Drosophila melanogaster: one gene and its partners. The gene in region 4 interacts genetically with the main gene of each other region. Each region holds a gene or a part of one and is shown on either strand. Other genes may lie near its edges. The genes, in order: spas, ab, Imp and kn.

Evidence for each region.
Region 1: of kn (region 4) and spas, changing one suppresses a phenotype caused by changing the other (phenotypic suppression), as found in Drosophila melanogaster (one study listed by BioGRID).
Region 2: of kn (region 4) and ab, changing one suppresses a phenotype caused by changing the other (phenotypic suppression), as found in Drosophila melanogaster (one study listed by BioGRID).
Region 3: of kn (region 4) and Imp, changing one suppresses a phenotype caused by changing the other (phenotypic suppression), as found in Drosophila melanogaster (one study listed by BioGRID).

Annotation. Positions count from the first base shown.
Region 1 is NT_033777.3:24,036,535-24,045,680, reverse strand, and holds spas (spastin), read right to left. Parts: upstream 7,467-9,146; 5' UTR 7,173-7,466; coding exon 6,419-7,172; intron 6,087-6,418; coding exon 5,916-6,086; intron 5,771-5,915; coding exon 5,585-5,770; intron 5,376-5,584; coding exon 5,209-5,375; intron 5,114-5,208; coding exon 4,861-5,113; intron 4,803-4,860; coding exon 4,057-4,802; 3' UTR 3,027-4,056; downstream 1-3,026. Other genes in the region: Rox8, read left to right, coding at 16-243, 415-1,323, 1,391-1,484, 1,536-1,717; Miro (mitochondrial Rho), read left to right, coding at 8,133-8,750, 8,863-9,146. UniProt on the Drosophila melanogaster protein: ATP-dependent microtubule severing protein. Stimulates microtubule minus-end depolymerization and poleward microtubule flux in the mitotic spindle. Regulates microtubule stability in the neuromuscular junction synapse.
Region 2 is NT_033779.5:11,208,066-11,215,092, reverse strand, and holds the start of ab (abrupt), read right to left. Parts: upstream 4,416-7,027; 5' UTR 4,346-4,415; exon of another isoform or gene 4,320-4,345; intron 3,326-4,319; 5' UTR 3,130-3,325; intron 1-3,129. UniProt on the Drosophila melanogaster protein: Expression is vital for development; may be involved in transcriptional regulation. In embryos, muscle specific expression is required for segmental nerve b (SNb) motoneuron target recognition within ventral longitudinal muscles.
Region 3 is NC_004354.4:10,818,752-10,825,978, reverse strand, and holds the start of Imp (IGF-II mRNA-binding protein), read left to right. Parts: upstream 1-1,701; 5' UTR 1,702-1,804; intron 1,805-3,192; exon of another isoform or gene 3,193-3,587; intron 3,588-4,161; exon of another isoform or gene 4,162-4,660; intron 4,661-7,227.
Region 4 is NT_033778.4:14,802,601-14,810,002, forward strand, and holds the start of kn (knot), read right to left. Parts: upstream 4,462-7,402; coding exon 4,250-4,461; intron 1-4,249. Other genes in the region: hui (hase und igel), read left to right, coding at 5,983-6,043, 6,674-6,923, 6,986-7,283. UniProt on the Drosophila melanogaster protein: May act as a 'second-level regulator' of head patterning. Required for establishment of the PS(-1)/PS0 parasegmental border and formation of the intercalary segment.

The DNA of each region.
Region 1 (9,146 bases), on a different chromosome or scaffold from region 4:
TGACATCCGACAGCCATGGACGAGTCGCAACCGAAGACCCTATACGTGGGCAACCTGGATAGCTCAGTGTCCGAGGACCTGCTAATTGCCCTCTTCAGCACCATGGGGCCCGTCAAAAGCTGCAAAATCATTCGGGAACCGGGCAACGATCCATATGCCTTCATCGAATATTCCAACTACCAGGCAGCCACAACAGCTCTGACCGCCATGAATAAACGCCTATTCCTCGAAAAGGAAATCAAGGTAAGCTGATTAGCTTCTCTTAAGTTATCAAGTGGACAGCGGTCATTTTCATTCATTTTGTTCGAAACTACACTCTTGCAACACACACATTCCCCACGACCAAGCCCTCATGTTATTTTAATTATGTAGAACTTAATTGATTATTACCTATTAAACGAATGCTCTTCGCAGGTCAACTGGGCCACCAGTCCCGGCAATCAGCCGAAGACAGACATCAGTTCGCACCACCACATATTCGTGGGCGACCTCAGTCCCGAGATTGAGACAGAAACACTGCGCGAGGCTTTCGCCCCATTCGGAGAGATCTCCAACTGTCGCATTGTGCGCGACCCTCACACCATGAAGTCAAAGGGTTACGCCTTCGTGTCGTTTGTGAAAAAGGCGGAGGCAGAGAACGCCATCCAGGCGATGAACGGCCAGTGGATTGGCTCGCGCTCGATACGCACCAACTGGTCCACGCGCAAGCTGCCACCACCACGCGAGCCTTCCAAGGGCGGAGGCCAGGGAGGCGGAATGGGTGGCGGACCGGGCAATGGGTCCGGTGTAAAGGGAAGTCAACGCCACACCTTCGAGGAAGTGTATAACCAGTCGAGCCCCACCAACACCACCGTATACTGTGGCGGATTCCCGCCGAATGTCATCAGTGACGACCTGATGCACAAGCACTTCGTCCAGTTTGGTCCCATCCAGGACGTGCGGGTCTTCAAGGACAAGGGCTTCTCGTTCATCAAGTTTGTTACCAAGGAGGCAGCCGCCCACGCCATCGAGCACACGCACAACAGCGAGGTACATGGAAACCTGGTAAAGTGCTTCTGGGGCAAAGAGAACGGAGGCGATAACTCGGCCAATAACCTCAATGCCGCCGCTGCCGCGGCAGCAGCCTCTGCCAATGTTGCCGCCGTTGCGGCAGCCAATGCTGCGGTTGCCGCTGGAGCGGGTATGCCCGGTCAGATGATGACGCAGCAACAGATCGCCGCCGCAACAGGAGCGGCGATACCCGGCCAAATGATGACACCCCAGCAGATTGCGGCGCAGTATCCATACGCGTACCAGCAGATGGGCTACTGGTATCCACCTGCGGTAAGTGTTGTATTCTTTAAATACGCAGTGACCTAAAGATTGACCCTAACTTTGTGCTTTTCTGCAGACTTATCCCACAACCCAGATGCAGACGCAATACATGCAGCAGGGCTACTATCCCTACGCCTACCCTACCAGTGCTCAGCAAGCGGGAGGAGTCCGTAAGTTTACTTTTCTCAGTTGCTGAATAATCGTGACCTTGGCTTAAACAGCTTGCATACAATTTTCAGCGGCTGGATACCGCATGGTGCCGCCGAATGTAGCATGGGGCGTGCCCGGAACTGTGGTGCCCGGTGTGACGGCTGCCGCAGCATCCGCGGCCGCTGCAGCGAACGGATCACTTGCCCCCCAAATGATGTACAGTGCTGCGATGCCACAATACCAGACCCAATGAGCTGAGATGTGACGCCAGCTTCGACGCCGTTTGCAGCATCCGGGAAGTCGCCCCCAGCCGCAGCCACAACCACCTCTGCTGCATCAGCTTCCGCACCTGCAGCAGTTGCAAGCGCATTACGCACGTTTAGGTTACGTACAATACCGAGTAGTAGCAAAGTCGGAGCCGCTCCTGGCCATGCCGTTGACCAGCGGCAGCAGCCACATTGACGGTGGCAATGTATCTGGAGATTATTAAGGATGCGCGAGTGTCCACTTTGAAGTTGTGGCTACGGTTGCGGCTGACTGCGGTGGAAGGAAGCGGAATCGGGTGTGGTATATAGCCCCCCAAAGTCGAACGTTAAGGCGGTGCGTGGAGCTCAACTTCAAGTGATCCACGCCGGCGACAACTGAAAGAACATCAATTGAAAAGCTCCGGGCGATGGGCGGGTAGCTGTAACAATCTAATCCAATCTAAGTACGTGTTAAATTAATTTAATGATTTCTAATTTAAGCAGATATAGGCGTATAAACGAAACGGAAATAAAATAAACCGAATGAGAAATTCAACAAAAACAAACAAATAAAAACTGAAAAGAGAAAATGCTAATTACGCGCGACAGAGTTAAAACAAAAAGAAAACAATCGAAACAAAAACGTGACAAAGCAAATTGTAATTGTAACTATGTGGAACATGTGTCAACGAAAACTGAAGACGGAAAGAGGGTAGTTTCAGTGGGATGAAAGGATAGCCGCAAGCAAGCAAGCCGAATGCAAAAACAAGAGGAAAAACAAATTTAGTCACTAAGAGAATGTAAATTCGAGCATACATATTGTATATTTCCAATGTGGAAAACGAAATGCGATATAAATATGTAAAATGTAAAATAAAGAAGCAAAAAAATATATAAAACAAGTGAGAAAACGAAGGGACGCTGGTTTTTATATTGAGGTAATGAATTAGGATGTGGAATTATTATTTCAAACTTTAATTTATATCATTGATGATAGAAGTGGTTACTACTACTACAAATCTGGTGGAGGATTCAGCGGAGTCTAAAATATAGTTAAAAAGTAATTAACTTTTACAATTGTGCTAAAAAGTTTTCTTAAGGTATAACATACATACATGAATGAATTTTATAGCTTTAATATTCTCTAGTGAGACGCAGTTTTTCTGCGAAACTAGTTTTCATGAATGCTTAATTCTTCTGCTTACTTTCTCTTAATTTAAATGCACCTGGTGATGTCAGCCGTTGCTCAATTCTCAATACACTACCAATGGTTTCCAATAGCTTAGAATTTTGTTGATGATTAAGAATGCAATTGATGTTTCTTGAAATCGATTTTATTTAGCGTATTCTATAGATTTCTTTATATATATAGTTTTATATGCATGTAGTTTTTTTTTGTATCTGTGTTTAGTAACTAGTCAAAGAACTCAAATTCCGGGTGGGCGAGCTGCGTTGAAGCTGGTTCAATGTGTCGCGATAAGCGACGGGCATGTGCGCGGGTGAAGATGTATCTGATCGATCTGATAACACCAGATCCATACGCACCTGCTAGGTACAACATTTTTGGGTGTGTTACTAATAATATAGGTGAATCGGAGACGATTGTATTTATGGCTGTAGGTACATAGATTGAAACAAAGGAACTAAACTAGACTAACCATACGGACAGTGATAACTATTAAAACTTAAATACGATTCTGCGCTGGTAAATGTATCTTTGTGGGTGTGTATAAGTATATCATCGGTCTTAGGTCTACGCTTACTTCTAGATTACATGTAGCTTGTGGATGGGCACTCAATGTACAACAAAAATATGCTTTATAGTTCAAGGATACAATGGAAGTAGTTGTGAACTCCTTGGGCCGCCTGTCTTACAAAAAATCACTACGGAATGTTTCAAAAAACTAATTTATAAAGCAATGTGGCCTTGAATTACTATCATAAACGAAGATAGGGCAAACCTACTATTCTAAGAACTCCAATGAAAAGTACAGATCTTAGAAATATATACCATGAGTATGAGTATAACGATAATGGAGCTGCATGGCAAATGTTGCACCACATGGACATGGTGGTTAAACAACGAAAAAATACAATACAATGTTCTTAGGCTAAAACACCAGAAATAGCTGGGAAACAAATCATATTAAATAACTCACAGGTAAATACAAATGTAACAATGTTTGTGAAACGAAAAGTCTACGGATTGAATAGAACCTTAAGGGCGAAAAACATGGGTCACATAATCAAAACTAGTGTAACGACAATGGGTTGCGCTCTGAGACTCACATCACAGCTTCTCCAAATTGGATTGATGAAGGAGGGCAGGATCATTGGCTAGAACAGACTAGATGGTGATGTCGCCATAATCTTGCGACCACTTCTCATATGAGTTGAGGCTTTGCGGCGCCACCGAGCGCCTGATGCGCTTGAGCGAACTGTGAAAGTCCTGCTCTGTGATTGCACGCATTGCACTGATGTCCAGACACTTCACTTGCTCCACATTCAACTCTCGAATGGGCTCCAATGCGGCGTCCTTGGCCAGTGCCGTTAAGTCGGAGCCCGAGTATCCGTCTGTTATCTTTGCAAGGCGACGCAACGCCTCGGTATCCAACGGACTGCCTTGCTTCTGGAGCAGTCGATTGAGGAGCAGCTCGCGGGTTTGCTCGTCGGGCAGTGAGACGTAAACGCGCTTTGTGAACCGACGCAGGGCTGCCTCGTCCAATTCCTGCGGTCGATTGGTGGCGGCCAGCACCACGATCCTGTCTCCGTCTGGATTTCCAGGCAGCCCATCGAACTCCACTAGAAACTCGGTCTTTAGGCGACGCGATGCTTCATGCTCGCTGCTGCTTCGCTCTGAAAGCAACGAGTCCACCTCGTCGATGAAAATAATGGAGGGCTGCATGTGACGGGCCACGGCGAAGAGAGCCCTCACCAGTTTCTCGCCATCCCCCACGTACTTGCTGGTCAGCGAGGCAGCCGAAATGTTCAGGAAGGTGGCACTACACTCAGTAGCCACGGCGCGGGCCAGCAGTGTCTTGCCATTTCCGGGAGGACCAAACAGCAATAAACCCTTAGCCGGTGCACGAAGCCCTAAAAAGGAAGAAGATTGGTTATGGTGACGGTTCTAGTCGCAGAATAACCAACTCACCCGTAAAGAGTTCCGGTCGGACGGAGGGTAGAATGACCATTTCCTGTAGAGCCTGCTTGGCCACATCCTGACCGGCAATGTCAGTCCACTCCACTTTGGCCCCACCCTCGACGATCTCGTCGAGTATAAGTTGCACCAGCTTCTGTTCCACTCCCTTCACACTAACCACCGGAGTGCTGGCGCCACTGCCACTGGGTCCGTTGTTGTTTATGGGAGTCCGCGAACGCTGGGGCGGCGTATTACGCCCCGAAGACTGTAATATGAGTAATTTAGTTTAATTAGTATTTTAATTTCTGAGTATTTGCCAAATGTGTAAAAACAAATTTAGTTTACTTATCAGATACTCACAAATTGTCGCCGAACGGCGGGAGGCGTTGCAGCTGTCTTGGCTGGTTGCCTTTGGACTGCGCCTACAGATGTTTTGGAGCCAAGGTTGCGGGGCAGCGTTTGTGATTTGTTGGCCACGGCCAAGTTGACGGGTCGTTTGGATCCAATTGTCAGTTTGCGGCCAGATGCTGTGAACGAATTAGCACAATCAGAGATGGATAATGCGGAAGAATATACTCTTTTACAAGTTTACAATTTGGCCAATCGAAATAAAAAATTCTAAGAAAATCAAGTGCCAAGTGAGGTGATAGGGATTGACTAATCGATCTGCTTATGGTGGCTTTGCGCTGGCGTGTGAGGATCTTGTTGGGTGCGCGTTAGCTGGTGAGGAACTTACCAGTGGGTTGGGCACTGGTGGTGGCCTTGGGCCCATAGCCACTGCTGCGCACCCTTAGTTTCATTGGTTCGTTGGTCATTCCTGCCAGCATGGGCTCCCTGGTCTTCTGCGGCTTGCTTTGAGCCTCTTCTTTCTGCTTCTCCTTTAAGGAGAGGCGCTGCATTTGCAAATCCTGCTCACGCAGAGCTGCGCACCGGATGAACATGTGCATATGGACAAAACGGAGGGGACAACAAAAAAGCAGGGGAAAACGTGCAAAATGAAATAAAAAAAAAATGAGGTAAACAAATCCTATGTTTTAGGGGTATAGGAAATATGACTGGTCACTTACCTAGAAAATGGAGACGATCCCGCGCCATCGAAAGGTTTGTCTGCATCTTGTCGTGCAGGCGCTGAGCCCGATCCCACACATCACCACGTCCACTCCAGCAATCGACAGCTATGCCATCCTCTAGCTCCTTGATACCTTTTCGGTAGAGCTCAATTGCCAGCTCTTTGTGACCTGAATATATAGAATAATATTATTTTATGTTTATTTTATAACTATTATGTTCAATCAAGCTCGCTTTCCTCTTATAAATAATTTGACAAAGAGTACGCTTATATGCATTAGAATTTAAAAATCGCATGCTTGGAGAACTTCCACTCCATAAAAGTCCATCAAGGCAGACAACCCTACTCCTGTTGACATTTGGGGCATCCATTGTGCGCGCGTTTTGCCTTATTGATTCTCACACTCGACAGACAACAAAAGCGGACAGCGGGCGATGACTCATTGAGCATTCGAGCACTCGAACTCGAACTGGAGCTGCCACCCCCGTCGCCGAAACTCACCTTCGTTCTCCTCATCAATTTTGAGCGCCTTGGAGATGTACTCGAAGGCGCGTCGATGGTGATGCTTCTGCTTGGCCAGCAATGGATCGCCGGGACCAGGTGAATACCCTCCTCCCGGACGATTGGCGGCCATCTCCAACGGTTGAATGGGCCTGAAACGCTGTGGCTGATTGGATAACTGCTGTTCCTGTCCGTCACCTTCACGGTTCAGCTCCGAAGGATGGTTCAACGACTGCTGTTGCTCCTTGGAGGAATTCTGCACCACGATTTCAATATTACAGTCGCGTCGGTGCGGGCGGTATATCACCTTTGTGCTCGCACCGTATAGGTAGCGAAAAATACAAAACAGCTGATAAATCAGCGAGCGCAGAACGTTGAAAAGAAAGATTATGGGGAACGAGACGACGTAGAGGTTCTGTTTGTGCACAGAGGACGAGTAGCCGCCGTACGAATGGTGGTGGCCGCTGCGTGGGGAGCACGTTGTGGGGGTCAGGTCATCTGTGGTGGTGGTGTCGTCGTCGCCGTCGGGTGAGCTGCCCGGACTACGGCGATTCGATGAGGAGCCTCCACCGGCGGCAGATGAACCGCCGGCAACAACGGCAGCAACGTTTGAGGCGCTCGACGAGCGGTGAGTGGACTGGCGACCACCGAGTCCTCCGCCGGATGATCCTGCCCCGCTGCTGGACTTTATTGGTGACTTGGTGCTGCTGCTGCTGGCGCTGGAGGAGGACGACTGGTTTTTAGTGCGTACCATCGATATCGATTCCGCGCTGTCTGCGCGTCCAGCACTCCGGCCCCCTGCTCTCCTTGCCCTAACCCCGTGAAAGTTGCACGGGGAAATTATCCTTGTAAGCCAAATCGGTTGGCCGTGGCACGCGTTTGTATCGATGCCGCACAAAAAAACAAACAAATCTCGAATATTATTGTTGTACGTCGTTTGAGCTAGTGCTCATTTTGCTGATATCCGAGAGTACTGATTTTCTTCCGCACTTACAACTCTCACTACGTTGAAAATTGAAGCTAAGCTCTGGAGTCCCAGCCAGTGCTGACCAACTATCGATTACCAAATCTAGCGGGCAAGGTTGTGAAGTCAGACAAACAGGCAATTTCAAAGTTTAAATGGTGGAATGTAACGGATGAAATATAATTTGGGAGACTTTCACCGAAGTGCAGTATGGAGACATTCGTAATTGAAGGTAAGTTTGATTTATTGCCTTGTTTATCATTTCCTTTTTGTTTATACGAATATTTTTAACAGAAAACATTTTGTGTCCTTTACAACATCCTTAACGGTTGGCTGATTTAGCGGAAAAACGCTAACTTGTCATATCGTAGAGATCCAGCTGTCAATAAAGTTACCAGACAGTTTCGGATCCGATGTTTTTGGATGGAAATATTTAAATTACGTGATCAATTTTAAGCAACTGATCGAAATAATAGTTTTGATTTGTTAAATTCGTAGAATTCAAACACAATTGCCGGAAAATTGGGGAAAAATATCGCATTATTTGGCGGTCGCCTAGTGTGGCAGCCCTGGTAGCTGGGTTGCGATATATCGACCTTGATACACCTACTGCCATCCCCATCACTCTGGGTTGTTTTTTTTTGCGTTTTTGCATAACAAAATCCTAGAATTTCGGCCTAAACGCCAGCGATCTCTGACCAGCAGAGCACGAGCACAGGAGCGGCATATCTCACTTGGAGAGCAGTCGGAATGGGACAGTACACGGCGTCGCAGCGCAAGAATGTTAGGATCCTGCTCGTCGGCGACGCCGGGGTGGGTAAGACGTCGTTGATTCTGTCTCTGGTCAGTGAGGAGTACCCGGAGGAGGTTCCGCCTAGGGCTGAGGAGATTACCATTCCGGCGAACGTGACGCCCGAGCAGGTGCCCACCAGCATAGTTGACTTCTCGGCCGTGGAGCAGTCGGAGGATGCCCTGGCCGCCGAAATTAACAAGGCGCACGTGGTGTGCATAGTGTACGCCGTGGACGATGACGACACTTTGGATCGGATCACATCCCATTGGCTGCCGCTCGTCCGGGCCAAGTGCAATCCCTCCCTGGACGGCGAGGGTGATGCCGAAGCGGAGGCGGAAGGAGACACACAACGAGAGCCCATTCGGAAGCCAATCGTTCTGGTGGGTAACAAAATAGACCTCATCGAGTATTCCACCATGGACAGCGTGCTGGCCATCATGGAAGACTACCCCGAGATTGAGAGTTGCGTGGAGTGCTCTGCCAAGTCGCTGCACAACATCTCCGAGATGTTTTACTACGCCCAGAAGGCTGTGCTGCACCCGACTTCTCCCCTGTATATGATGGAAGAACAGGAGGTAAGTGCTTCCGGAGTGGATCATAGGTCGCAACTATATCATTGCGCCGTAATTGGCGGTTTTGCGATAGGTAATCAGCTTGTACTCTTCTAATAAAACTTCGCATTTTCAGCTCACATCCGCCTGCAAGAAGTCGCTGGTGCGCATTTTCAAGATCTGCGACATTGACGGGGACAATCTGTTGAACGATTACGAGCTGAATTTATTCCAGCGACGCTGTTTCAACACACCACTCCAGCCGCAAATCCTTGATGAGGTGAAGGCCGTGATACAGAAAAATGTGCCCGATGGCATATACAACGATGCGGTCACCCTGAAGGGCTTCCTCTTCTTACACTGCCTTTTCATTCAGCGGGGAAGGAACGAGACAACCTGGGCGGTGTTACGGCGCTTTGG
Region 2 (7,027 bases), on a different chromosome or scaffold from region 4:
ATTTAAAACTAACCAAAATCCTAGAGTATCGAACTTAATAACTGTAACTGTATCTTTTACCTTTTTTTCATAGTTAATTAAAAGGACAGCCAGTTCGTACACTTTAGCGACTGTCCACTGTGACAGCAGCTTCAAACTTCGAATGTTTACGTTGGCTTACGTTCTCAATTGGTGTCGTTAGGAGTTCTCGAAGAAGAAGTGCAAATATTTTGATGAGAATATTTCTCCAAATCGATGCGATGCAGCTATGTACATATGTATATTCCGCTTAAGTCCCATGCTCCTGCAATAATATTTTCGAAGGATCTTTTTGTTTGATGATTTACATGGCAGGTAGCATTGAGAAAGTGCCACATCATTTTCATTTTCGCTGCACTTTTCGTGCACTTTGTGAGCGATTTACTGATTTTTGTGATTTTGTGCCAACTCATGCGGCAATCGCGATACTTTGGGCCAAGGCGCCGCCGTCGGCGAGTGAGAAAGGCGAACGTTGGAATCGAATGGCTTGGCCAGGTCCTTAGAGTCCTTTCTCCACATTCCTTTGTTTCTTGGCCCGCTTCACTTCTTTATTCTCGAGCGGAACTTCAATTACACATTTGCTCACATGCGAAAAAGTGAAAAGTCACTGGCCTGTCATGGGCCAGAAATCCAAATCTCATCTACCGACGGCATTTCTTTTTGGACCTCTCACACCCAAATCTCCACCCATCATTGAGTATCTCGGCATTTGGGCCACTTGGAAATCTCCTTTTTTTATGCCCTGCTCCTTTACATTTGATTGGAATTGTTGTCGTTTTGGTTGCGGGTCCTTGGCTAATGGCGACTGAGCATTTTATACCCTTTTTCGCAGGCAATAAAAACATTTTCTTTTTTGGCCACAAAATAATGAATAATATGAAGAAAAATACTTGCCGCAGCCGCGTTCGTTTTTTTTTTCCTTCTTCTGGAAAACAGAAAACGCATTAAGTGCGCGGTTTCCATTGTTTATAACATTTTTGCCACCCCAGAGAAGGAGGCAAAGGGATAATTAAGAATGCTTATTTATCTAGAACGCAGTCACGGCGCCGATTGTCCAGCTTCCTTCCACTTTTTTTTCATCTGACCGCAGGGGGGCAGAAACCCCATGAAAAGGTTCGTAAAAAGCCAAAAAACTTTTATTTTTTATGATAAATTATATGGAGTGTGGGGCAAAAGGATGCGGAGAAGACGGCGCCAACCAAAGGTCATTCGAAAACTGGGCAGGAAAAAAGTGAGAACCGAGGCTGAAGAATGATTTGAGACATAATGAAATAAAGCAGAATTTTAGAGAGAAGATGACGGCCAAAATGTACTTATATTCTGCACTTTTTCATACAATCTAAGCTAAGAGCAAAAGGTTATTGCACAGAATATAATTACAGAACTGAAGTAATGAAATAAGCTCTCAAACTCTGTGAGCAAATTTGTTAAGCTATGCGTTAAGTTTTAAAATAGTAATTATGGAATAAGAAAAATTTGTAAGCAACTAATAGGAGGTTCTTTATGCGAGTATTTGAATATGTAATGACTTTTTTGAATTCTAAATTGATTCCTGCTTACCTAATCATGCTTTAGGCCCTCAAACTAAAGTCAAAGGTCACCTGTTCTTGGACATTTACCAAACACTCGCAAGTGTTCAACCTAAAAATGGGTTTTCGGCCTGTGCCGCAGATTTTCTCCGCTAATTAGCCGGGCCGAAAGTTGGCGAGTTGAAAATTACCCAACACAAAAAAAATCTAAGAAACGGAGCTGGAGAATCGATGCCGGTGGGCAGCAGCAAAAGCAGCAGCGCACACGCAAATCACTTGTTTTTATGTAATTAACTGCTCAGCCCCCCAGAAAAGGCCATCGAAGTTTCTTCGCCGGAGGTTAACGGAGATTTGGCCGGGTAATTAACCAAAAACCGATCGCTTCTTGCCGCGTCTAAAGTCGAAGTTTTTGGCATAATTTCCAAGTCCGACGATTTGCGTTTTCGGCTTGTAAAAAAATCTCTTTCTGGTATTGGCTTCTTTTGGCCGTTCAATGACCGATAAAATTGCCTCAACCATCGCGACCAACTCGACCGACTCCATCGATGCCTTTTAGCGGGCTATTGATTATTAATATTTTCTATTTTTCCCTCTCTTTGTGTCTTTTTTCTGGTTAGTTGTTCCCAAACCCCTTTTTTTTAACCATTTGCTGTAATTACAGCGACGCGTTAATTGTTCGCCCCCTTGACCCTTTTGTTTCCCAGCATCCCCGGGTTTCCACATCTACGTATTTGTGTTTGTTTTCAACGGGCCGGTGAAAAATAAAAACAACACTCGCCCAGGCGAGGAATCTACACTTACGCGATGGTGTTTGGTGTTGGGTATCGCAGACCCCCGACTCCGAGACTAAATCCAAAAATTCAGTCGAGAGTCAGGTTCATTAGCTGCTATTACCATTATTGGCCATAACACACAACACTACCTACCTATGGGTGCCACAGCACTACTGCCTCCAAAAAAGTTGGCAATTACTGCACACGAAAATTCCCCCGAAAACGTTTTCCCTAAGTTGCAAGATTCATTTATCAAATCGCAAGAGGACACCAACTATTCGGGTCTGTCTTCAAGAGCAGCAGACCAATCAAGAAAGCGTGTAACACCAAAAAATACATAATTTTCTTAGATTCACACATTTTGGCCAACTAGTTTAAAGACAATTCCAAATGCTGACGCCTTTTGTGAGCCCGATTTTGTAAGCCATTAACTTCGGTTTACGATCACTGAGAGAGATCGCAAACAAAGATCGCGGTCATAAAACATTTGTTAACCTAATTCAATTTATGTAAAACAAAATCATGACATATAAAGTTATAAAAGTCTAGGGAAGCGAGAAAGTTCTATTTTACTACGATTTTAATGTGATCTAGTTAAACAGCTTAAACGATTTGATTCTCGTTTGGTTTCGTTTCCAGAATATTAGTTACATTAAATTTAAGTAAATCAATAACTTAAAATTCATATACTGTCAGAAAACAAACATTGGAACTAACCCCAAAGACTTCAACGATCAAATTCCCTGTTAAAAAGTTGCCATCCAAGCAGATTCGTACATACATTTCCAAGAATCAGTTTTAAAACTTACCGTTTGCACTGTTGATTTCTTAATCTTCTTTTTGAAAATTCACGATGATTGCTGAATTTGTTGTTGTGATGCCACAATTGTAAAATTTGAACACTTTTGAAACACTGAGGGTTATTTTCTTTGGGTATTTCCCTTTATGAATTTGTTTTCTTTAAAGCCGATTTTGAATTTAGTTTGATTTTTCAACACTGCACAACTGCAATCACAATAAGAACAAAATGAATGAGAATCGCTGGCAAATCAGAGAGCATTTTCCTGGGTTTTCCGAGAAGCGGAAAACAAACGAAACGAAGTAGAAGAAAAACGCCACAAGAATAAGAAGAAGACGAAGAAGCCGTCGCGCTGCACTTGCGATTTTTGTTGTTTTTGTTTTTTGTTTCGTGCGCTCTTTTTCGCAGCGAGTTTCGTGTTCTGGTTTTATTTTCTCTGATTCTGATTGCGATTGTGAATCTGGTTCTGTGTGAATTTCGTTTTTATTAATAAAATGCACAACTTCCGTTATTAATTTTGCAACGACAACAATTGCTGCGTGTGTGTGTGTGTGTGAGTGTTTGTGTGTTTGTTTGCGGATTTGTGACAGCCGCTGACAGGCGAAAAGCAAAAGCAACAAAGTGACAAGCATGAGCGTGTGTCGCCTAGGAGGAAAAGCGGAAAAGCAAACCGAAAAATAATAACAACAAAAAGTGGGCGACAAACGGGCGGTGGGCGGCAATCGAACGGTACAACCTGTCCGCTTTTTTACAACCGCCCCCACTTCCCCCGTTTTCTTCAACGATTTCGCTCCTGTGCACGCGACTCGCGCTATCTCGCTCTTTTGTTGCGGTTTTTTTTCTGCCTGTTAGCTGCATTCATTCATAAAAATCGGGTTGTAAAAAAAGAACAGCGGCAGCAGAAAAAAACGTCGCTGATTTTATTTATTTATGCCAATTTGCCGACGCGTCGCCGCTGCAGTTCTTGTTGTTTATAGTTTCGCACTAGGAACGGAAGTTTCTTGGATTTATTTCGAAAACAGTTAACAGCACCAAGTTTATTCGTTCCAATTCGGGTTTATATGCATTTTAATAGTTTTTCGTTTTTAATTTATTTTTATTTTATATTACAGTTCTTTGTTTTCTTTAGTTATGTTATGGTTTGTATTTATTTAGTTGAGAAGTTCAAATTCAGTTGTCTCTGTGTTTCTGATAGTTTACTAAGCCATCAAAACACTGAAAATCACATATAAGCCAAATTAGCCGCACTTGAACCACGACACTTGCTGCCCGTCTGATTTCTGAAATTGTACTGCGCGTAATAAGAATTCCTGTTTTCGTAAGCGGTAAGTAAAATCCGACGCACTCTTCGTCGGCTCCACGTTCGATGTTCGAAGTTCGACGTTCGATGCTCGTCGTTTGACGTTCGACGGCGAACATGTTGCATGCAGCGCGTCGGTGGTTTCTCACTCGTTTTTTTTTAGCCCCATCCTCCTCCAACTGGCCAACACACTCACAGACACACACACACACACACACACTGGCGCACAAGGGGGCTATTATCTAAGCCATACAATCAGATTGTGTTTACTTTTCCAACCGGGCAAAGTGGCAAGGTGAAGACTGCAGAGAGCCCGAGAAGAAAGAAAGACGGACGGCCGACCAATTGAATTGCAGAATTGCCAGCGCTTTCTTGGCCAAAAGTTTTCGGTAGAAGAGAGCAGCCCGAGTTTTTGATTCATTGGGTGTTAAGTGCGATAAAATGTGCGCTCTCTGATAAATTATAGTTTCCATAAATAAAGTAGCATTTCATCGAATTAAGTTATTTCTCAGTCTGAAAAGGAAATGTAAAATGTAAGTTTAAGTACAAAAATAAATATAAAAATGAACTAACCCTAATTTTTGAATTAAAATATACTTTAATTTACTTTAACTTTACTTACAAAAATGTGGACCAAATAAGAAAACAAACTAAGACACAAGCATAACTTTAGTCATTGGAATGCACTGTAGTTGTGAGACGGATTTCAATAAATCATTTGACCTTATTTGAAATTGTAATTAAAATGACGCAGCTAAGGAAAAACGTTCAAATGTGCAAATTACTAAATTTTCTAAACGGATGTCTAAACGAATGAATGTACACAGATATTTGTCCAATAATAGTGTAATTTAACAATAAGGCTAAAGATACATGAATATACTTAATATGATGTATTTTCCCTAACCATACTTTCCTTAGATATGCGGAGCTTTATGGTAGAATAATAATTCAAAAAAAGGAAGACAGTTCCGTGGAGAACTGGAACCGCACCTTAATCTTGCCCTCCTCCGATTTCTCGCAGTAGCCGCCCCTGCAGGAAGTCATTAAGCTGCCTGAGGCTGGAATAAATAAAGTTTGTCTCCCACTTCGGCAGACGCTAAAGCTATGAGGTGCCACCCCTCGGCAGATGCAACTTTATTAAAGTCGACAAAAACAAAATAAATTTACGTGTAAAAACACTCCAAATGGCAGAACACCGAAATTGTCGCCGCACCACCAAACATCCCAACGATCCACAAATGCACAGAGTTTCGGATGCAACGATCTGTAGATGCAGCTACAGCTTCCCAAAAAGGGAGCGCAAGTTGGTGGCATGCGGCAGCTAATGTATCTAATAGATACACGACAGCACGTCAAGCGCTTCCATTGGAGCGAGGTATGAAATTGGTTGGGCGGAGGAAAGTTCCATACCCAAACTCAATGGGTATATAATCTTGCACTATAAGAAAGAATCTAGAAAATTTTTCAATGTTTAAGAATTCTTCTGCAATTCTGTGTTAACTACTCATAATATATCTTGTTAATTGTTATATATAGCTAACAATTCTTGCCTTTTAGGATATCAAAATGTATTTCATAATTAAAAGATTTCCACTACTTTATCTCAGTGTAGCGGGGCTGAATTTCTCATTCTTCGCTTCACTTCGCTCCACCTTAGTTTTATGTTTGGCCCCACCTCCGCTGCATTCTCTTCGCTTCTCGTGCTTCTCTAATTAACATTGGGATTGTAGTACGCTTTTAATTTATATCTTATTGATGCCGGCGACATTTGTATTTATTTTTACCCACAAGCACCCCCCCCCCCCTCCACTCTTCCAGGGGCAAGAATGGGTGGTGGTGGTGTGTAGGTACTGTCCAAAATTCACTTCCCAAATCTGTTTCTTCACCGCCCCACCGCATCCCATCTAGTTGTGTGTGTACGTGTGGAATGTTATTTTTATCGAGAGTGAGTGAAAAAATTGTGGAAACCTAAAATTTATATGGAATAGGTGTCGCCGCGTCTTTATATTTTGGGTATAATTATTGTTAATATTTGTTGCTGCCTCCGCCCCTGACAGCCCCCCGCTCGTTCACTTCTTCTCTGCTCGTCTCTTTTTCCTTTGTTGTTGTTATTTTTTATCTATACTCTAATTAAAATATTCGGATGTATGCGCTTAATATATGTCTGTGCTCATATATGTATATATATAAATATAAGCATGTACATATATTTTAATGCCACGATCTGTCTAAATAATCTCGTACGCATTTCAATGGTCGAACAAAAATTGCTTGGAAAAAATGAAACTAATAAGAACAACAACAGTTGAATTCGTGGGTGGTTCAAGTTTATTTTTAATAAAAAGAATCAGTATTTTCAGGTTGCTTTTAATGGATTCTGTTTATGACATTTGTGTGATTTTGATATTATTTTAGTGGTGCATGTATATAAAAGCTGTGTTGGTCCATTGCTCACATTCTGCGTATGTACATATTTTAATTTAGTTCCACAAATAATACAATACAATTATTAAATGAAATATCTTTAAATATTTCAATATCCTCTGATTTGTCCAAAGTAAATAACGAACCAAGAGTGTTTTCTCTACAAATAAATACAAAACTA
Region 3 (7,227 bases), on a different chromosome or scaffold from region 4:
CCAGCCACCTTCCACTGGCGTTCGTCCTTGTCCCACGACGGGACAATGTGTGGAGAGGGGTGGAAGGGGGGGGGGGGGGGTGATGCCAGAATAGAGAGACACACAAGGGTTGCAATCTAATGAAATAATAATAATAAAAAAGTAAATAAAGCAAGGGGCGAAGTCAACGGAACGCAGCCAAATTCGATCCTCGACGTGTGGCGTGGGTGCAACAGAGATGGCAAGAGTGGCAAGCGCGTAACGGGACACCACCACCCAAAAGCTGGAAGACAGCGGACTGGAACGTTCTCTCCCCCAACCCCTTCCATGCCAAACCATTCCCGTGCCAACGCACTCGCGAAAATAATTGAATGTAATTTTAAATGATGTTTGTGATTATATTACAAATGAAAATTGGGTTTCTTAGAAACATTCGAAAAGTATTAAAAAAGAGAATGATGATCTGCTTGTTTAGCCCCATCTCAAAATCGCTTCATTTCCTGCTTAGAAGGTATCTAATAGTCGCGACACTCGACCATTTTCATTTACTGTGCACTAAATACCATAGAATCCAAGCCAATGCGATCCCAACCATCCCAAATCGAAATGGAAAATCGCAGCATGGCAACGCACAGGACGCACACACAAAAATGCGTCGCAGTTGCCGCTGGGGGTGGGTGGTGGCTCTTCCTTTCCCATTTCCATTCCCTTTCCCTGCGCCTTTCCCTTTACCATTAGCGTTAAACCCTCCCAGCTCGTATCCTCGTCCCTTTTTTTTGGACTAGGCTAGGGCTAGAGCCCAGACTGAGAGTTCAGAACTCACAGCCAGCCGGCTGTAAACATTCCTGACAGACGCAGGAACGCAGCAACGCATCGCAACCACACAGCGCACATTCAGCAACAGCGATGGTGGTGGTGGCAAGCAAATTATGAGATTTTCAGGGGTTCAACAGCCTCCTAGAAATGTACGGGACAACTAAAGTATTCCATCAATGCATTGAAAGAATTCTTCAAGTCTGCCATCAGAGCTATATCTATACAATGGTACTACAAAATAGATCCCTAAGTATATGCTAATATAGATAGTCAGAGGTAGAAAGATGTATATCCTTGAAAGATCTATCTAAATGATTGTTGTATCTTAACAAATATGGCTTGAAGTTAAAGAACTTAACAGTTCGTTCGCCTTACTTCTGCACTCCGTAATCTTCTAGTTTAAGCTTAAAGTTGCAGCTCAGCATTGAGATCTTGGATGGAAAGTGCATGGGCATGGGCCTGGAACCACTGCCATTGTGCACCCATGTCCAGGGGCGTAGGGCCACATCCTCGACCTTGTCCTTGTCCCGTATTTTGGGGTTGAAAAACTACGCAAGTTTCGCTCGAAATTCGAAAACGGGACGCAATCGCTTAGTGTGTGCGTGCGATATGGTATGGGTGTAGACTCTCTGTGTGTGTGTGTGTGTGTGTGTGTGGGCTGAGTTGGGTTGGTAACAGTCGGATATATATGTACATACTTATATATATTTTATGTTTGTTGCTGCTCTGGGGTGCGCATCAGATTTAGCTGAACGAAGGAAGGAAGCATCGACAAAAAAGAGGAACGGGAAAATGTAGGAGAGCAGGAAGTAGAAATTTCGTTGGCAGCAAGGTCAGCGAGAGAGGGAGATGGCAGGAGTGAGGGAAACAGAGATGGAGAAGGCACAGTCTTAGATCGAAACACGATTGTGAGCTGCAGACTTTTCCAAGTCCCCGGAATCGCTATTCGCAGCTCACTTCCCTCGTGTTAACCTCATTGCGTCCAATCTAGTTGGAAAATCCCGTTGAGGTATCAAGTACTGTTTATAGAAATGTATCTTTCATAACACTATCATAACAATTGAATACTACACTCTCTAACTCGTCGTTCGAAAACAAACTTATGATTATAAAGGCCATAGTAACAAAGAAGCCGCAACGCAAGTCGTAAAATGCATTGCATACTTTCTGGAGTCGAAAAGTGCCACAATTAATATATGCAATCTAAACAATGGGATTGGGAAAAGAAAATAATTTATATAATTCTATTATAAGCCAAAATAATAGCTTTATTGATATCTATGCATAATCGCAATTTACAAATGCCAATAACTTGGCTCACAAGTGGCAATCGTGAGTGGAATCGAATTCACAATTTCCCCGAAAGACATTTTCCGTTCTCTTGTTTTCCTCATGTCTTAAAATTATAGTCTTGCCTTTTGTCAAGCAGCTGTGGCAGTTTGAATTTTCCTGACATTTTCACGAGCCAGTAGACAAAACAGACGGGGCGATAAAAGGGCGCAAAGGAGAGCGAAGAGGAGCGGAGAAGAGAGAAAAGTGGAGAGAAGAGCGATGAGCGAAGAGAGAGCGGGAAAAACGCTGGCGTCTCTGCTCGGGCCACCCTTGTTTTCAGAGTTTTTCCCCGAGTTTTCCGCTTGGTACTATGAGTTTTCGCTTTTCACATTTCACACTCACCCCCGTCGCAGCTGCGTCGACGTCAACGTCAGCGTCAGCGTCGACAGCGCTGCCAACAGCTAGCCGGTCCAAGCCAATCAGATGGAAAATATTCGTTTATCCGTTGCGTTTTTCGATGTTTTTCCTTTTTGGGTCGGGAAAACCTTTTGCATAGGGCGACCAGCAGTGCAAAGTACAGGTCCAACAGCTGGCACAGTGATCACCAGATGAAATAGAACAGATCAACAGAAATCATCGATCATTAAATCGGAATAGAAATGAAATTAGAAGTTAGCTATATAAATATGTAACGTATCTAAGCAAGGCCTAAAATGTATGTTAAATATATTTTGATTACCTATAGTAACTTAATAATACATTTGGCAATGTATACTGGCATAAATTAATAGTTAGCTTATTCGATTTCTTAACCTTAGATCATTTATAGTGGTCGCCGACTTTTTAGAGTGAGTGTGGTGTAAGCCGGCTGCTGCCCTTTAAAGCGGATAATGTGTATAGACGCTTGCACACAGATACAGATACGAGTACAGACACAGATACAGATACAAATATGCCAAGGAGCAGGGTCAGCCATTTTGGTTTACAACTTTCACTGTTTTGGATGGGTGGGAAAATGCGACGCCAACGCCAACGCCGCTGCTACAGCGCCGCGGCAGAGGTCCTGAGAGCAGAGCAGAGCTGAACAGAGTTTTCCTCGCATTTTCATCGGGCGCTGAGCAGACACCTTGGAAATTGGGATCCGTATATCCGGCAGGCAGGCAGTTCACTCGTCGCCGTTGCGTCAGTTCGTTCGACTCTCGACTCTCAGCTCACAGTTCGCAGTTAAATAGTTAATAGTCAATAGCTCACGCCGAACAGCTATCGAGATATTAGTGTTTTGGATTCAGATTCAGATTCAGATTCAGATACGGATACGGATTCAAACGGCGCCGCCATTTGTGATTTTTGTTGTTTTTTCTTGTATGAGCAAAAAGTGACAAAGCACAAAAAAAAAGAAAAAAAAAGATAAAAACCAGTGAAAAGCCAAAGGAAAAGCGCAAAGAAAAGTGAAAAATCATCATAAAATAACAAACAAAAATTCGACGAGAATTCTTGAGGTTTACCAAATACACCAAAGTGTAAGTGTAAGAAAGAGAAAGGAGATACCAACCAAGCCATAGAGAGAGAAGGTGAGGGAGAGAGAGAGTAAGGGAGTGGGAATAGGAGGGAGTGTTTTTCCAGCCTTGCTTTGTACGCACTCACTCACGCATCTGCTGCCGTCTCGCTCGCACCCACACAATCCAACGCCCACCCACGGCAACCCACACACAGAGTTGTCACCTACACAAAAATCAATAACGAAACCCAATAAAATAAAATCCACAACGACAGCGAAAACAAGCCCAAAAAGAAAATGTTACTTCCTGTCTAAATCAATCAATGGAAAAATCAATTGCGAACTCATTAAGGATGCTAGATTTTGATTCCAAGTAATTCTTATGGCATTTGAAAACTAGCTATAGATTGCATAAAAACTAGATTTCTTAGGGATTAACTATAATTTTCTTTTAATGCTTTAGGCTATGGACGGTAATAGGTTATGTAGAAAGTATTGTAGTATTGCAAATATAACCCATTATTGAATATCCCAAATCACACACACCATTGGCTTTGCTGTCAATCGCAAATGTCTAAAAGCCCCATACAAATTTCACTTTTCCCACTATTCAGTTTCAAATTTTTTCTCGCTCAATATAAAAAAAAAATCAAAAATTTACCCAAAATCAAAAATATACACTCACACAGTCCATAACAAGACAAGACACCGGAAAACAACAGGCAACACACCCATATTAAAGCCAAAAAAAAAGGAATCTAAGAAAGGCCAAAGGAAAGGCGAAAGACCAGACAATTTTGTTTAAACTACGTACTAGGTAGAGATATTTATAATCTGGAGAATTCCGATCAATTGGAATATTGTAGCCCAGAGAATATCGATCCTCTCGAGAAAAATTCACCGACCTCACTTTCCAATTCTAAAGCCTGAAATCTTGATGTTGAACCCACACAATTGGCAACTTAATTGAATCAAGAGCCTGCAAAGGACTGAGATCTCTGGAGCAAGAATCAGGCACCTTTATCTCAAGCAATTTCAACAGACATCCTATCCAAATCTCGAGAATAAGCAGTGCACTTGCGTCCCATTGAAAGTGTAAGTATCCTTTTCTGTCAGGATATTGAAACGGGTCCTCGAAAAATGTTACCTTGCTATAGTTCCGTAACGAACTCAATATATTGATTATATTGATATTGATAAGAGGATAGAATGAGGATATTATTCCTATACTATTCCTATTTAAGATCTCTTCTCTACAATAGTCGAGATTCTTCTAAGCAACCAAGATCAATTAAAAACCAATAACTTAGCTAGCACTCCGCCACAGTTCCTGTGTCTGTGTCTTTCATTCATATATCCGATGATAAATTCCCAAGTTTTCTTTATGCCAACTCCATTGCAACATTGTACAAAGTACAGGGAATGCTCCACAAGTGCGATTATAAATTGTTCAGAATGTAAGCGGCAATGATTGCGGAGGCTTCTCTGTAGTTGAACGCCGAGGTTGCGTGTTTGGCGTCTATTTTAAATGTCGACAGCGCAAGATGCGCGTGGCATGAATGAAGCGTCTGTCCCGCCTTTCAGACCAACAACCACCGCCCCCCCGCCCCCCCAACGCTTTTTGTTGGCCCCCTGCTCGTCTTCTTCTTCTTCTCTTCCTCATTCTAATCTGGCTCGTCTGCTTCTAAATTTAATACATTCTCAAGTGAGGCGAAATTCATGGAAGATGCGAATAAAATCGGATCAATTTTAAAGTTCAACAGCCGCTGAAAAAGAGAGAGTGATATATGTATATCCAAAGAAATTGGGAATTGCAGCGATAGAGATAGCAATATGTCGGTGGGGCCAGAATTAGAAGCAGACTGACAAAGAAATAGGTGCCAGTTTGGTCAAATTCCTTAGCGTTTCGCAATTGGGAGAGGGTGGTTCATATCGTTTAGATGCCAAGTTGTAAAAGGCGCAATGGTTCGTAGCTTAAGGATATTCTTAAGGATATACCAAACATGTTTCCTAAGTCCCCATACACTTAATTTTGCCTATTACATCGCTTAAATTCTACATTCTTTTGATAGTAAAACTCTCGTTTTAATCGCGAGTTAACCCTTATTGCTTTTGTAAGTTCTAATGCTTCGGTTTGAATAGATTTCATTCCTTACAAAGCTGCCTTTTATCTTAAGATACCAACCACCCCCAGTATTAAATAAAAAAAAAGGGTGCTCACTTCAGTCTTATGTAAGGGCTACATGCATCTTACTTTTGGGGATGTTAGTCCACCACTAGCAGCGTAAGTTGGAAAGTTGGAGTATTCTCAGATAGCCATCAATCTGCACTCGCACTCAGTATCCGTCGATCGTCTATCTCGTTCTATTTGAGGCAACTGTACCTCGTTAGCGCGCTCCTTTGACGCGGTTTGTCCTTGAGGCAGCTCTCTAAGAAAGCTTAGGTAGGCAGACGGGCAGCTTTCGCAGCTGTTGCCTGCTCCTCGCTGCCTGGCTGCCGCTCATCCGTCTGCTCCTCCCTTGGGCACTCCTTATCTAGTCCTTAAAAGGTGTCCTGTAGCCAAACGAGCTCCTCGAACCCCATCCCCCTTCGCACGGCATTCCTCATTCGATTGTTTTATGTCCTGTTCGTCGGTGGCAGTCGACTGTGTGCGGCAGAGTCAGGATATCGCCGTATAAATATAAATCTATTGTGATATAGTACATAGTCATATGGTTTGCCATTGATTAAAGTTTTCTTTTCATTTTCACCAATCATTTTCAATTTCAAAGCTATCCACTATGATTAAGAATGATGGTCATCATTAACCTAAGTTAACTTTTCATATAAGTTCTTATCTAAGAGCCACTACTAGTGCTATTCAATGAAACGGAAGCCACAAGGAAATGAAATCACTTTCCCAAGAATCCTGCACGAACCCTTTTTTGCATGCATCCTTCCGGTTCGTGTGCATCTCAATCACATTTGACTGCGTTCGCCATTGCAGTCGGTAGAATTGTAATCAACCACTGAGCCACTGAACCACCGAGCACCACCCGAAAACCCCAAACACCCACCCAGAGGCTAAGTGGACGGACTCAAACGGACGCATTCACATAGCTTTCGACGATTTTATTCGCAGGACTAAGGTTCTTCCTCCCCCCTCCCTCATACTAGCACTCCTTCTCTTTCTCTCTCTCTCTCTCTCTCTGTCTCTTGCACTCATTTAGCATGCATGTGTGGGAAGGGGGGGGGGGGCGGACAGCGTTGGGTTGTGAGAAAGTGGGTGGTTAGGCCTTCTGGCGTTGCATACTTTCGAGGGGTTGCTGTGCTGCACTTTGCTGCGCGCGCGCCATTTTCCATTCGTTCAGCGTAAAATGGAGCAGCAAAAAGTGCAACTGCAACAGGCGTTCGCCATTTGCCGCCGGTTGCAAAAAAAGGGTTATGCAAGGGGGAGGAGGGGGATAGAGGTGGAGGTCAAGCCCGCCCACCACGGGGGTTATAACCTTTGGCAGGATGATGTTGCAACCGCAGGAGTCGCCACCCCTCGAGAGAGCTAGCTTGTTTATGGCCGATGTTGCTGCTGCTGCTGCTGCTGCTGCTGCTGGCGGCGGTGATGGTGGTTGTGTTGTGCTGTGCTGTGAGTTGTGTCGATACCCTTGACGCCGTTGCACTTTTGTTGC
Region 4 (7,402 bases):
CCAAAAATAGTTAGCCAAAATACACAAAAATAAGAGAAGTTAAGGAAACTTAAGTTGGTTAAGCAAATCAATAAATTCAAAGAGATCTACTTGATTTAAAATTGTACATACTTGATTTGAAGTTGTATGTTTTCAAGTAGTTTGCATTTAATCAAATTCCAAGTTGAAGTTTCCCCAAAATATGCTGTAAATACTTCGATGTTAACTTTTATGAGCTGCTTGTCGGCGAAGAGGAATTCATGCATCTCATTTGGGGTTTTAGTGCAGCTCCCCGAGGGGCAAACCCTGCCCATTTTCCATTTCCCACTCCTCGGCCACCTGGAGAAGCGTGTCAGCATTGGGGATCCTCTGGAGAACCACAAAAACGCGAACCCACTCCTCGCTCTCAAGTAGTAGAGAAATTGTGGAATGAGCTGCGACACATTTACTAGATTAATTAGCTCATTTACGGTTGACAATGTCCGTGTTAATTCCCCAAGAATTAAATGATAACATCATACGAAGTGGACGAAAAAGGTGTTCTACGTGTCAATGAAATGGCTTGGCAAATGCTCGATGACACTAATACGTTTGTTTGTAGGGGGTTTTCTCTTCGTTTTTTTTTTTTGTAGGGGTAGTAGTATCTGAAGTGCAGACGATTTGCATAATTCGAAGGACCAGCAAAGGACGCACCCTTCGCTATCCAAACGCCCAGCTAGTTTGAACCACTCACACCTTCCCTGATCATCTTTTCTGCACCCCATCTTTATATGTTCCAACTCCCCCTTTTCCGAATACACAGACGGAAAATATTCATTAGTTATAATAAATTAAGACCAGAACAAAGGAAAATATATTTTAAAATACTAGAATAATGCTTAGAAACTAAAGAACTGCAAGATCTCGCTTGTAAAGGGTTTCCTAGTTTCACTCAAAAAATGTTGCAAAGATCGAAAATCGATCGTGTAAATCATAGGTTATATTAAATTTCTCTCAGTGCACTTAGGCACAAATATAATTTGACTTCATTATGCGAACAGTTGTTGCCTTTAGTTTTGGTAATTTATTTCAATTTTTTCAGTCCTCCGTTGCTCGAGACTGCCGTGGGCAGTAAGGGGTTAATGCTCCTGCAGTGCAACCCCTGTAATAAATAAATATCTAGGTCCTGCAAATGTTCATTTAACTGAAGTATGTGTGTGTCTGTGTGTGTGTGTGGGGAAAATGTCTCAAATGTTTTGCTGCCGCTGCCATTGTTGCAATTGTAATTTGTTTTTATTGTCGCTTGTTGTTTGAAGAATGAGTATTCCGGGTGTGGCCATAAAGATGATTCTCTTTAGTCACATCAAAAATGTTGCTAGGCTAGAAAAGAACTAGCCTATCACAACATGGATGCCAGCATTCCTAATTAATTTTTGTGAAATTTTCAAATCTCATCGGACCCCCAAAAAGAATGTGGAAGGAAGAAGCTGGCAGCAGGACTAAGGAAATCCCGAGGGGGCGACCTTTTTGGCCTTTTTGGTCTCAGTGTCGGCCACAAACAAGCTGGCTAACAAACAAAAACAAACAAGAAAACTGGTAGCAGAATAACGGTACCGGTCTTGGGCGTGTTTCGATACTGGACATCTGCACTTTTGGTCAGACATTTTGGAAAACAAGGATATTGACATATTATCTTCGTCTCATTCTCAAAGGTTTCTCCGTAAACTTAACAGCCAATCCCATTCGCAATCCACTCGAAACTTCAGTTTTGTGGTCCTGCTCTAAAGGACATAACCATGCATATAAATTTGATTATTATTAAGTCGGGCACATTAGTGAGCATTTCTAATGAATGGAATCGAGTCGAGCAGATCCTTGTGCCCGAAAAAAGGGTCAGCCCACAGACACACACCCAACCACCGTCACATACGAGCTTGTTAAAGCCAATTTATAAATACTCAGGTTTATGGTTTTAAGTACTTAAATATTTAGCACACTTCTTGGCCTCAGACTGTAGCTCTCCCTCTCTCTCTCTCTCTAAGGTTATATACACCTCTCTTTCTCCACGTGTGTGAGGCTTTTATTTATAATTTATGCGTCCGCAGGGCGACACTCATTCGGTTGCGAGTGGGTGTGGGCATGAGTGCACTCATTAAGCAAAGGATGTCCTTAAAGGTAAATGAGCAAATTTAATTTAAGCTTTATTTTTACCATATTTTGGTGAATGGATACAAATGCTCCTTAAGATCTATTAATAATATATATCTTCTGATATATGCACCATTTTTGTAATACAATAGTAAGTATCACTCATGATTAATAACCGAAACATCTTTTCCCCAATTAGGTAACACAAAATGAGCAAATTCAATCGCGCTAAGTGCTATATAGACCAATTTCCTCTTTTCAACCGCCCCCAATTCAAATTTTTGAAGAACATTATGCGCTGCCATCGAAGTGACCTGATTAATGAAGCCATTTCGATTCCGTTGTTCAGCTTAGCGATTTCAATTATCGGACATGTTAGGCGGGGTTGCACTTACCAGGGGGGGTGGCTGGTTGCATGGGCGGTGCAGACGACCGCCGATTAGCACGTGCCACTCGTTCCGAGCAAAATCGCAGGAAGCTAACCAAAACGCAAGGACACGTGGCAGGAGCGCAGCTTCCAAAGATAAACATAATTATGCAATACGAGGGGGAATAGCAACGGAAAGTTGGCCAATCTGATAACACGCAACGAGATTTGTCATCATCAAACAAAGTGGGCGTGAAAATTGCGGATGAAAAGCAGCCAGGGGTTCTGATCGGCAGGAAGGAAGCGACGATGTAAGGATGCAAAAAGGACACGACGCAATGCTTCCTGCCCGGATGCAATCATGTCCGAGGCGTGTGCGCGAAATATCCTTTGTTTGCGTTTCCCAGGACTCGGAAAAGCGGTACGACAGTAAAGCAGTCGGAAATAATTGCACAGCAGTCAGGATAATAAAGATACTCGCGGTCCAAGTACATTATCGAAATTGATACGCCAGCTATACTATCTGGCGCATATGCTAGTCGAAGTAGCTATATATCCTGAGGGGGCGGAGTAGGCTGGCTATTCCAATTCGCGATTCAGGTCGCGTTTGTTCGCCACCAACCTCAATGCATTTCACTTTGTCGTTGACTATCCACATACACTGCGATAAAATAGCACATCTATTCTGTGGATAAGTTTTCTTTAGAGTAACAAGTTACCTATAAAAGAGTCCTTTAAACACATTCTTACTTAATCCCTTAACCTAAGCAAACTAGGAAATTAGCTAATTATTTTCCAGTGTAACTTCAATTTGTCTGACCATCACGTAGTTCATCAGGCAGCCTTCTTTCAGCCTTTTGTCCTTGTTTCGCATTAAAGTTTCATTTGGCCGAGGCCACTTGGCATGCGGCAGCGTCACTTTTGACCTGGCTGAAAGGATACTAATCATAGCACTGCCTCCATGAGCAACGTTCTCGGCACATCCTCATCAGGCTGATTGCGAAAAATCACTGGAGAAATCAAGCGAGGTTCGTGATTCCATACTGACATATTTGGTGAAGTGGATTTGGAGTGGTTTTCCCAACCCACACATTCAAGTGACAATCACAGTCAAATTTTTTCGACTCTTTTGTGTATTTTTAGGCGAAAAAACAGAAAAACCATGAAAATCAATTTCGCTTGAGGGAGGTTGAAGCTAAAAAGCATATTGTCATTTGGTCAACCCACACCAACATATCTGAAACATTAAACAGATTTGGCCTTCCGATTTGGTTATATTATTTCCTTCAGCTGTTTCAATAATTCATATTTTTCGCTGATCCCCAGAGAGATGCAGGAAAATTATTAACGAAGGCCAAAGAAAATCAAATTGAACTTTATTTGCTCTTTAAATAGTTGGTTTTATATGTTTTAAGTTGAGTGTCGATAGCAGGGAAGTGGTAAAAATTTAAACAAAATAGTTGGCCGTAAATCAGACGGAAAGTGAGGCCAGTTTTGGCACTTTGGCCAGGATCTAATACCCATGTCCTGTTTGGCGATGAAAAAGGGGGCGGTGCTTCGTGTCCCAAGTCGGCTGTCAAACATAATCACCTTGCACCCCCCCCCCCCCCTCTCCATCCCAGAAGTTCTATTCTCAAAGGAAATTTATGTTTTTTATATGGACGGCGGAGCAGAGACAAAAGTCTGTGTGTGAATGAAATATATTATTTTGCTTTTTACCCGCCCTGCTCTTTCATTTTTTAACACATTTTGTAATTTCAACACGTTGCCACGTACCGCAAAAGTTTCTTCCACTCCAAAATGTCCACCAATTGCAATGCCGCCTGTCCACCACTCGGACTCGGACTTGGATCTGGACTCGGATGATTAATGGTTCCGGGTATTCCGGGACAGGCTCCGAGTTGGCTGGGCCAAATAATAAATCGTTCAAATCGGCTGGGGATTATTTTTCCTAGTAGGCGGCGGTCAGCATTTTGCTCTGTCACCATTTTTGCGAGAAAAAGAATGGAATTTTTCCTTGACTTTTTCGTATTCAATATTTGTACATATTTTTGCCAACGAACGTGTGCGAAATTCAAAAATACTTCTGCACAACAAATGGCAACAAATTTGTGGATTTCAATTAGATTAATATAAATCTAAGGAATTGAATTTTTTCATGTGTTCAAAAGAAAAAAAACGGAATTAAGGTGGTAGATTGGCTTAAGTAGTGCGTGAAAAATTGGTAATATTTTACTGAAAAAAGTACATATGTCTATTTAATTGTACTTGTTAGAAATACCCTACTTCTATCAGCAAAACGTGCAAAATGTGTATATGCAATATAATTTGTGTTGCACAACTTGTCTTCAATTATTTCTTGATTGATCAAAGCCTTAGATTTATTTTAGGCAATTAAAAACAATAATCCCCAAATAACCGGTTAATTGAAAGGATTTCCTGGAATATACATATATGATAATGTAAAATTAAATAACAAAATTTGTTTTCATTTCGTCGAGCAAGATCAATCGAAAATCCCATCAAAACCAGTTTTGTTTCAAACAGATGGAGCGGTAAAACCGAGCGAGGCATAATATTATTAAAATTCACAAAATATTATAATTAGTGGACGCATGCCAGCCATTAAACAAATGAGTATATATAGTTTAGCTTTATGATCGGCAATGTATGTATAATGCATAATATTTCTCTGAAACTCCGTTTGTTAGGTGTTGGCCACGTTGTAATCAGGTTATTGCCCCAAGCCCAAGAGAAGAAGTTCGAGAAGTTCTTTATTGCCAAAAACACGAATCGGGTCAAAAGCAGAGCTCAAGGCGCAGACTGGGTACAAAAAAAGTACAATAAGAAAAAGCGAGGGCACTTGGCCAATTTACACGAGCTGGCCAAAACAGTTTGGCGTTCGAATATATAATGCGAAATACAAATAAAGTGAAAACAAACAGAACAGAAATTCCCCGTTGGCGCTTCGCTGCTTCGTCATGTGTTTATTTCCCATAATCATTAACTTTTTGGGTGGATTTATATGTGAGATAAACTCTGCTGCAGAGAGGGGAAATTAACTGAGAGATGTGATAGTATTTAACCTTATGAATCATTGAGCCTAACTTTACGTTTATGAGCCACAGCCAGAGGTTTTAAGAAACTTTAAATGCCTGCCTCTTGTTTTTTTTTCTGTATTTGTTTATTGTTCAGTCTACCTACCGGTGGAGTTATTTGCCCAACTCTTCTGCCTGTTTGACGGCTTCTGCTTGTTCTTCCAGCTTTAGATGATAATGATGTAGATGGTTCGCACTGCGTCAGCATTCGAAATTTCCATATATAAGCGCTAGGGAGCCGCACCGCGAGCTTAGTCGTTTTGGAACTTTTCACGCGTTCGCTGCCTCAGTCTTTCGTTTCGTCTTTGTGAGTGCTTAACCGCAGATAGGCCCCTCTGCATACCCCTAACCGCTGAATTAACCCTACTAAGTGACGAAGTGTGTGTTCTTACAGATCCATACCGCTTCACAATGAAGTACGCTGTGATTGCCATCGCTTTGTTTGCGATTACTACCGCTTCGGCCTCTTCCGGTGAGCAAAAAAGCAAATTTGAGTATAATTTGAGGAGAGCTTAAGCCGGATTGTGCACTTACATCATCGCTAGTCGGAGCTGCTATCGTGTTTATTATTAATTGAATTAACAAGTCGGTCGACGGGTGCTAGTATGTTAATAATACCCAAAAACCTATCGAACCCATCCGGAAACCCAAACTGGTTTGTGAAATTCGCGTAGCTCATTAACTTTGCGACAATGTTTGTCCAGCAAAACTTTCCGCACAACAAATTCGCTTTTTATTACGATTCCTAAAATATGGCTATTCAAAATCAGCATTACGTTTGATTATTCACGCGATCGCTGAGTGGACAAACTTTCACACTCAAAAAAGAAATTGCCATTGTTGAATGTTTGAGATTTATAAGCATACTTTTGGGATTAGCATTATCATAAAAAACTTGGAATAAATCTGCATGGTATATATGCTAAGTATATGTAATTATTCAAAGGTTTTCATAATATTAAAAATAAATTCAATAGTAAAAGTTCATAAAATATTTAATCGTGGTAAATAAGGGCGAGATGTGAACGAAATCTAAGCTTTAAAGCTATATTCATAGATTTCAGATACTTATCGCTGAATTCATTGCTCTTTATTCATACAGCTGGCCAGTTTCTGCCCCGTGCCTTCTTCACCTTGGACTCGGAGGGCCACCAGTCGAATGTCCATCCCGTGAATGCCCATCTCCTGAGGCGTCTGCGTCGTCAGTCCAGTTCGTCTTCCTCGTCATCATCCTCCTCGTCCTCCAGTGGAGGAAACGTCTTCACCTACGCCTCACACAGCGTTCAGAATGCCGATGGCTCCGGTCATTCTGGCTCCTCTTACACCCAGCAGGCCGCTGCTCCAGTGCTTGGGTGAGTTAACTGGAAAATGAGGACTTCTATTGATGATCACTAATGATCGTTTTAATTTCCAGTGGTGTGTCCTTTGATGAGCGTTTCGGCGAGAGCTCCTTAACTGGAGGCGACAACTATTATCCCACCTACAATGGCTACACCAGCGCAGCCTCCATCAGCAGCAACAGCGGAGTAGGAAGCACCGGTAGCTATCAGCACATCTCCGGAGTTGGACCCATTCCCGCCACCCAAATCCAGCAGACCGTGGCCGTTGTCGATGCCAGTGGCAACCAGAAGGTGACCAACATCCAGGGTGCCACCGATTCCAACGGCGTTCTCAATATCAAGAAGACCGAATCCACTTACTCATCCAAATAGAACATAGGTTTTTTTTCGAGTGTAAACTTTAATAAATTACAGTAAATTAACTGACACGGTGCCTTCTTAACAGGATATTTGTTATGAACTCAGAAATAAGAGCTCGCAAAGAACTTTGC